2 linked regions of the Xenopus tropicalis genome follow. The protein of the gene in region 1 purifies or fractionates together with the protein of each later gene. This does not show direct contact. Links are inferred from orthologs where the notes say so. Each region holds a gene or a part of one and is shown in the gene's direction. Other genes may lie near its edges.

Evidence for each region. Proteins that work in one complex are often made in the same cells at the same time.
Region 2: the proteins of map3k1 (region 1) and dcaf7 purify together in Homo sapiens (affinity purification with mass spectrometry; 3 studies listed by BioGRID and IntAct, with this or other methods). This does not show direct contact. The link is inferred for Xenopus tropicalis from reciprocal best matches to the Homo sapiens genes MAP3K1 and DCAF7.

The regions. Positions count from the first base shown.
Region 1 is NC_030677.2:190,919,862-190,924,635, reverse strand, and holds part of map3k1 (mitogen-activated protein kinase kinase kinase 1), read left to right. Parts: intron 1-694; coding exon 695-816; intron 817-1,057; coding exon 1,058-1,149; intron 1,150-1,660; coding exon 1,661-1,850; intron 1,851-2,577; coding exon 2,578-3,850; intron 3,851-4,774. UniProt on the Homo sapiens protein: Component of a protein kinase signal transduction cascade. Activates the ERK and JNK kinase pathways by phosphorylation of MAP2K1 and MAP2K4. May phosphorylate the MAPK8/JNK1 kinase.
Region 2 is NC_030686.2:16,431,748-16,435,304, reverse strand, and holds the end of dcaf7 (DDB1- and CUL4-associated factor 7), read left to right. Parts: intron 1-443; coding exon 444-653; intron 654-871; coding exon 872-989; intron 990-1,420; coding exon 1,421-1,593; 3' UTR 1,594-2,110; downstream 2,111-3,557. UniProt on the Homo sapiens protein: Involved in craniofacial development. Acts upstream of the EDN1 pathway and is required for formation of the upper jaw equivalent, the palatoquadrate. The activity required for EDN1 pathway function differs between the first and second arches.

The DNA.
Region 1 (4,774 bases):
TGTCCATTAGCTCGGTAGTCAAAAAAGCAAGGCGTGTGCTTTATTGGTAAAGTAATTTACCTGCAGTATTTAATAATTGATGCCTAGAAAGGAAAATGTATTTGTGTTTCATTATAATTGAACTTTTGAAGGTACATTTATTGATACTTGGAACAGACCAAGTACGTTCATTATAAGCCATCATTTTAAAATGATTTAAGAGCAATAAAGCATTGCAGCAGGAAAGCAGATAGCAATTATTTGCAGAGTCACTCTGCAGAAAGACTGGCACAGTTTGCCTGGTTCTGCACAAGAAGCTACTTTATAATACAACTAGGCAGATATAGCAAATTATAGGTTCCTTAGACAAAAGATGTATATATAAAACATATATTGATGAAACCTTATGTTTTCCCATTTTGTCCTTTAACATGCTGGGCCAAATCTGGATGATCTGATTGTTTGGTTTGTGGGCCAGTGATCATCCTAAGAGGGGCCTAGAGAGACCTGTTGGGAGAGGGACCGTATTACATGTGAACTTCATCCAACAGAATTTTCAATAGATATAGATCTTAGCATATAGGTCAGGAAGGTCCAAAAAAAGGACCAATAAGCTGCCGACTTGGTCTGGAGAGGACAAGTCGGCATCTTTAAATATTAGTAAAAAAATTAGGCGTATTAGGCAATTTGTCTAAACTGTTTCTGTTCAACTTAGAAAACATTACGGGCCATGCTGGTGTACACTCCCTGCCATACAATTACAGAAAGAAAGAAGCTGCAGCGACTTCTCAATCCAGTGGTGGAGACTATTCTTGTAAAATGCGCAGATGCCAACAGGTATGCCTGATGAGTACAGTTTTATATGCTGTAAAATGTATACTGAGGCAATGTGGGGCAGGCAGAGGTGTTTTACAGTGACATGACAACTGGTGGCCAAGGGGAAGTTGTCATACAGTTTGTTGTTGTACCTCTGCTTCTTACAACTTGGTAGTTTTCTTTGGTTAGGAGCTAGTAAAATTCATGTTCCATCATGTAAGGACTGGTACTTTATTAAACAGTGACATTTCCTTTGTTATAGCCGCACAAGTCAGCTTTCAGTGTCAACCTTGTTGGAACTATGCAAAGGACAAGCTGGAGAGTTGGCAGTTGGAAGAGAAATACTCAAATCTGGTAAGCTTCTGTTTTTATAAACATAATAATTGCTTTTGGGACTTGACATACAGCATTTCAAATAAGAAATTAGCCAGCAAAGCAAATTGTAACTGTTTCTCTATCCATCCCCAATGATGATAAAAATATATTTTTTTTATGTAATGAATAATGTACCCTCTATTCTAAAATAAAATATTATAAATCTCCAAGGAGTTCCATGACCATAATAAAATACTTGTTTCAACAACTGGAGTTTCACTCAAGGTATAGCTTTTAATCCTAGGTGTCTGTTCCTGTGCCCTGTCCCAGGTACCACAATGATAAAGGGTAACTGCTCAAAACATGTAGTGTCTAGTAAAAGAGGTGACTTCTAATATCTTAATATTTTTAAAAAATGGGGTACATTATTATAATACACAAGTTTTAGTGAGTCATGTGACAGAAATTACATCACTAAGCACCAATATTCATATATTATCTCGACCACAGGCGACTGGACAGCATTTAAATTGTCATTTTGTTTTTGCAGGGTCCATCGGCATTGGTGGGGTGGATTATGTCTTGCATTGTATTCTAGCAACGCAAGCAGAGCCCAATAACTGGCAGTCACTACTTGGCCGCCTTTGTCTGATCGACAGACTTTTATTGGAGTTTCCTGCTGAATTTTATCCTCACATCATCAGTGGAGACCTCACACAGGCAGATGCAGTCGTTGACAGGTAATAAGCACACGTGTATCTCTTCTGCCACCCTTGGGTTGAGCTGTGCATTCCACTGTTATAAATGCAAGTTCCATGGCAATTCACTAAGGCTGTCAGCAGCACTACGTACATGTGAGCCCAGTTATCTGGTCCTTCTCGTTGATTTGAAGATAGTGCTTGTAAGGTTCACAGTTTGACTTGTAACCTAAGGCACACAAGCCAGATTTCCAGACTACTCCTCTGTAGATAAAGCAGGGATGTATCAAATCCGCTAATTTAGGATACTGCCGAACCCAGAATCCTTTGTGAAAGATTCGGCCAAATACCGAACCGAATCCTGGAGTCAGTGCATCCCTAAAATAAAGTAGGCCAATCTGGTTAATAGCCAACCAAAGTGGACATGCTGCTGTGTTTGCACTGAAACAAGCAGATATCCATTTGTAATCTACATAAAATTAAGATGATACTTTGTACAGAGTCACAAGTATGTGCTGTCATGGCATCCATCTACATGTGCTCCCTATAAGAAATGAGGGACATGTTTATGTACCAGTTAAGGTCTGCAGTGCAACATATATTACAGGGACATGATGTAATATAGAGCAATGATTATGGATTTTATAGGTTAAAGCACACAAGAATAAACATTAGTAATGATTTTTTAATTAATTTTATTTTTAAAGTGTATTTTTTTTTAATAATAATAGTTTGCACTTTTTAATATGTATTCATTTTTTCCCCCTAGATATAAAAGCCTGTTGTCCCTGCTGAATTTTGCCTTGCAGTCTATTGATAACTCTCATTCCATGGTGGGAAAACTATCCCGGAGAGTATTTTTAAGCGCAGCAAGAATGGTTGCAAGAGTGCCCCAAGTGTTCGTCAAGCTGCTGGATATGTTAAGTGTAACTAGCTCTACACATTACATTCGTATGCGGCGCCGGCTAATGGCCATAGCTGAAGAGATGGATATTGTTGAAGTAATCCAGCAGGACGTAGAAGATTCTCAAGCAATGGAAAACCGCAGAGAGGCATTTGTTCAGCCATCTGCCCCAGCCAATACCCCATCAACCTCACAAAGCAATTCTCCGGATAATACTGTACAGCTGTCAGGTAAAGTGGCAAAAGAAGCGTGTGACTCAAAGTCTGCCTCAAGTCCCGAAGACTTACGCGAGGCACTGGAAGTAATGTCATTGGCGTACCCTTCCTCTTCCGCCACAGCCGAGCAACCAAAGCCTGCCATTCTAACAAAACGTAGACCACACAGTCAATGCTTGAATTCCCCGTCTTCCAGTCATCCCCATTCCTTTTTCCCTACTTTACCTTCACCTTCTTCTACTCCTCCTGTGCCAGCTGGTCCTGTCACAGATGCTACAAAGCCAAGGTCTCAGGGTTTCACCCCATGTAAACTCTCTTCAGCTTCCCCTCAAACTCAGAGGAAATTTTCCCTTCAAATACAAAAGCACTATTCAGGCAGTAAAGAGCCAGAAAAACTTTCTCCAGTTTTTACTCAAGCAAGACCTCTGCCATCTCCTCAAATACACAGGCCAAAGCCTTCACGACCTACCCCAGGGGACCCCGGGAAGCCTGGAGAAGCTCAGAAGGGCAGCTTGACTCTTGACCTGAATGTTTCTCCTTACGATAACTGTGGCAGTAACGTCAGTGCTGTCATTCCAAGCGATGATACGGTTTTCACACCTGTAGAGGAGAAGTGCAGACTGGATGCAAATACAGAGCTCAATTCCAGCATGGAGGATCTGCTGGAAGCTTCGATGCCTGCATGTGATAGTACTGTCACCTTTAAGTCGGAAGTTGCTGTGCTTTCTTCTGAGCGTGCAGAGACTGACAACACATACAAAGATGATGTCAATCACAATCAGAAATGCAAGGAGAAAATGGAAGCTGAGGAGGAAGAGGCTCTGGCTATTGTTTTGGCAATGTCGGCATCTCAGGATGCACTGCCAGTCATACCCCAGCTGCAAGTTCAAAATGGGGAAGACATCATCATTATTCAGCAGGATGTAAGTTTGGAAGAGCTTTGTTGTGTGTGTTAATGGTGCTTTGCTTTGTTAGCCTACAGAATAAAAGTATTGAACCTCTTCAGTGCTCTACAGGTCTTAAACAACATGTCAACCCCAAAAAAAAGGTTTTGTCTAATACAACATAATTCTAAGCAATATTTCAATATCAATTTATTTAATATTTTCAGCGCTATTGAAAGCAGCATTTGCTGAACTCCTGGTTGCAAAGGTCAGTCTCCTCCTGCCAAAACCATCAGGGCAGGGAATAGCAAAGGACAGACAAACACTGCTTCTAATAGCAATTATATATACAAATAAGTCAAAAACCATTACAAATTTGTCATCATTGTGCAGTGCAAAGTTGCTTAGGATTTTGTTTTCTTTTATTAGGCAAAAATTTATATTCTGGCTTGACTTTTAACATTTAGGTTTGCTTTTAGTTAGCAAGAAGAGGGTCAGATAGATACAGATTACTGGTATTGTTTAGTCCATATAGTTATAGTTAGTTCTTGGCCCTTTAGGCCTGCAGTTTGACAGAAAATTATATGAAATCCAAATTTCTGAATAGGGCCCCCTTTACCCCCTGTATCTAGCAGCGTTTGCATGTAATCTTTGTTTTATCTATCAATACTTCTATTGTGTAGCGCTACTGAATAAGTTGCTGCTTTATTAAAAGAAAGATTTACCCCCTTTTTAACGTTGGTTCAATGAATAGAGCTTGTGCTTATCCTATGTTTGGCCAATTATTTTTTTTACAAAATATCTATGGTTTTTGTTATTTCATGCTGTAAACAGGGCAACATTTGAAAATGAAACTTAGAGATACTGTCATGGGAAAACACATTTTTTTCAAAGCGCATCAGTTAATAGAGCTTCTCCAGCAGAATCCTGCATTGAAATCTGTTTTTCAAAAACACAAACAGA
Region 2 (3,557 bases), on another chromosome or scaffold:
TGCTGGCAAACTGTGAGTGAGTAGTAAATGGAGTGTGGAGTGAAGAGAACTGCCAAAGAGATCAATCGATACACAGAGCTCTCACTTTATGCATCTGGTTTGGTCGCCATCTTGGACACACCCAAGTGGTGTCATTTTTACAGCACCAATTGGAGATGGGAATAAATTACATTAGAGCATTATTCAGGCAGCAAAAGATGGGGCATTAATAAATTAAACTAGGAAAGGTTCAGAGGAAGTCCTAAATGTCTTGTCATTGTTTTCCAGTGTACACGGTGATGGGTCCTGCAGGTTGTGCAGTTATAGTTACACAGGGTTGAAAAAATCCAAAGTCCGTCAAGTTCAACCCTTCCAACTGAACCCAGTGCAGTATGAATGAGTTAGGTTTTTTTAACCCATATGAATATAAAAGTATTTTCTTTCCCCTCCCCTGTGTGTGACAGGTCTATGACATTGCATTCAGCCGTGCAGGAGGGGGCAGAGACATGTTTGCCTCTGTGGGGGCAGATGGCTCTGTGCGAATGTTTGACTTGCGCCACCTGGAGCACAGTACAATCATCTATGAAGACCCCCAACATCATCCATTACTTCGACTGTGTTGGAACAAGCAGGATCCGAACTATCTGGCAACCATGGCCATGGATGGAATGGAGGTAATATTAATGATTCTGTTAAACACAGATTGGCACAGAGAGCTGCTGCATCGTTATATTTGACCAGCAGCCTGGTGATACGTACAGTCAATCTGGTGTGTGCCATTGTATTACATAAAGGTGTAAAGGAGCAGTACAGGGTGGGGTATGCCCAGAGGGCATTTTCTGTTCTTACAAATGCATATCATATTTTTATTCTTTTTTTTTTTTTTTTTTAGGTGGTAATCTTGGATGTACGAGTACCCTGTACCCCAGTAGCCAGACTTAACAACCACCGTGCTTGTGTCAATGGCATTGCATGGGCACCCCATTCATCTTGCCACATCTGTACTGCAGGTGAGCATCTTGCTTAGGCTTTACTGCATATATTACCCAAGTGTTGGTAGGGGTATATAATGTTGCCCTATAGCACTTTGCAGTGCACACACAGGCCTGGAATTGTGCAAAACCAGGACCCTAGAGGGCAAAGCTTAAGGAGAGACAATATATGGCCACTAATTGTTATTACTGCCAGTCTCTGGCTTAGTGGCTTAGTGTGGCACAAATTATAAATCCAGCCCTGAATTTAAAAGTGCCCTGGCCACCAATATATTGTCCCAGGTGTCCCCAATGTGAGTTTGATTATTGTTATTTTATGTGCCAGTAATAGTTATAAATTAGCTGTAGAGTTAAAGTGACTGGTGTCCTGTTACTTATGTGATATCCAGTCATGTGACAGACCCCAGTGGCACCCTAACTAACACTAATGGGCCTTGTTCCCTTTGCAGCGGATGATCACCAGGCCCTAATCTGGGATATTCAGCAGATGCCAAGAGCGATTGAGGATCCCATATTGGCATACACAGCAGAGGGAGAAATCAACAATGTGCAGTGGGCAAGCACCCAGCCTGACTGGATTGCCATTTGTTACAACAACTGCCTGGAGATCCTGCGAGTGTAACTGTATTTATTCCCTACCCTTCTAGCCCACTCTTCCTACCCCTTTCCTACAGGATCTTCTGCTCCTCAAGGCCTCCGGTTTTTATACATCTGAACTTATTGGCTCACCTTCCTGTCTGTGATGTAAGCCAGAAGATCCTCATTATCCTCCAGTACCTTATTGGCTGTAACTACTAAACATTATTGTCCATCCAGATAAACAGAGTCCTCTGCCTGTTTTTACAGTATGTGATTCAACTCTTTTACATGAAGGAATTAGTGCTGCTTAGTAAATCGGGCCCTGGTTTATAATTGACAACCCAAGAAAAGGGGTTCCCTTCCTTAGTCAGTTCCCTGTACTTTGCCCCGAGTGTATTTCAGTTGTTGGGGGATGGGAGGGGGGCCGGGTTGTGGGTGGGATGGTAACTATTGTACTGTAATATTACCTGTGTATACTATCCTCATATATGTGTGTATTTGTAGTGCTGACATGCTGTTTCTATATATTGTCTGATATTAAAGGAGTATCAGGTTCCCTACATTTGATTGGCAGCAATGATTTAACATATTTCCTTTTAGCTGTAGAAATATTAACCCTTATTGTGCACGGCTGGCCATGTTTTTCAGTGCCCTTTGTGCAGTTGTTGGCTTTTTATTTTTACTCCTCTTAATTCACAGACTAGATTTGAAATCTGTACTCCTCCTTGGGCTTGTGAGGCTTCCAGTTTATGGTTAGCTTGATTAGTACTTAGACTGATTAATCACAATTGGCTAACTCATAGGCATTTAGGGTCTGCAGGTATGAGTTTACTAGAGTGCTCTTTTTATGTTCCAAAGCACCAATGTTGAACGCAGTTAAAATAGGGCCAGAACCGTTTAACTTTACATTTCCAGTGATATATCAGTAGTGACTTTGGCATTGCTTACATACATACATACATACATACATACATACATACATACATACATACAACAAGTTCAACTCTGTGTCCCGGTAAAAGCTGCATGATTTAGAGAAAGGTGAAAAAACATCCAAAGCCATCTCTTATTTAATAGATTTCTGACGGACTCCAAGGGGCAATCAGACCAGTCCCTGGATTAACTTTGTACGAAGTTCATTTCAGTGTCTCTGTGTTTTACCCATTGTTAAAAGGCCACCCATCCCTATCAGATGTATCCTTAAGGAGAGGATTCCACAACTTCACATCTTTCACTGTAGCAAACCCTTTTTGGAGTTTTAGGATGGAACCTCCTTTTTCTTAAACATAGTGGATCCCTTGTGCCTTCTGAAAGGACCTTACTCTACTTCAATTATGTTGGTTTAGGAGTCATAAAGCCCAAACCCACTGGAGCAAAGTGATTTTGTAGTGATATTTGCTATCCAATAGATATGTAGTACAGTGAAGCTACTCCCATGGTACAATTTCCTCATTTAATATTAATGCCCCAGGTTGTCACTAGGTGGCACCGTGGGACAGTTTTGACCCTGTGCTGTTGTGCATTTTGCTAGACAGATGCCTGGGACTAGTTGTGCTTTCTCTGCATGCAGGCCTGGACTGGGATTCAGAATAGGCCCTGGAATTTCAAGTACACAGAGACCCAAACAGCCCCACCAGCCCAATAAATAGTGACCGTCTATGGCATCTTACAGCAGCCCCTCTGGCATTTGCCAGAACCCACATATTGCTTCTATATGAACATCTAAGGCTTAAAGCAATATAAATGTTTATGCAAGTTTCTTCGGATCTGGAGCAGGCTGGAAAATGAATTTAATGGTATCATTTTATGGGGCCATTATATGTATGTATGTATGTAAATGGTAGTGTGTTGGGGGGATCCTTAATGGAGAAGAATCTGCGGGTTTTGTAGATAACAAGTTGTCTAATTCCAGGCAGTGTCATTCTGTGGCTACTAAAGCAAATAAAGTGCTGTCTTGTATAAAAAAGGGCATTGACTCAAGAGATAAAAACATAATTTTGCCCCTTT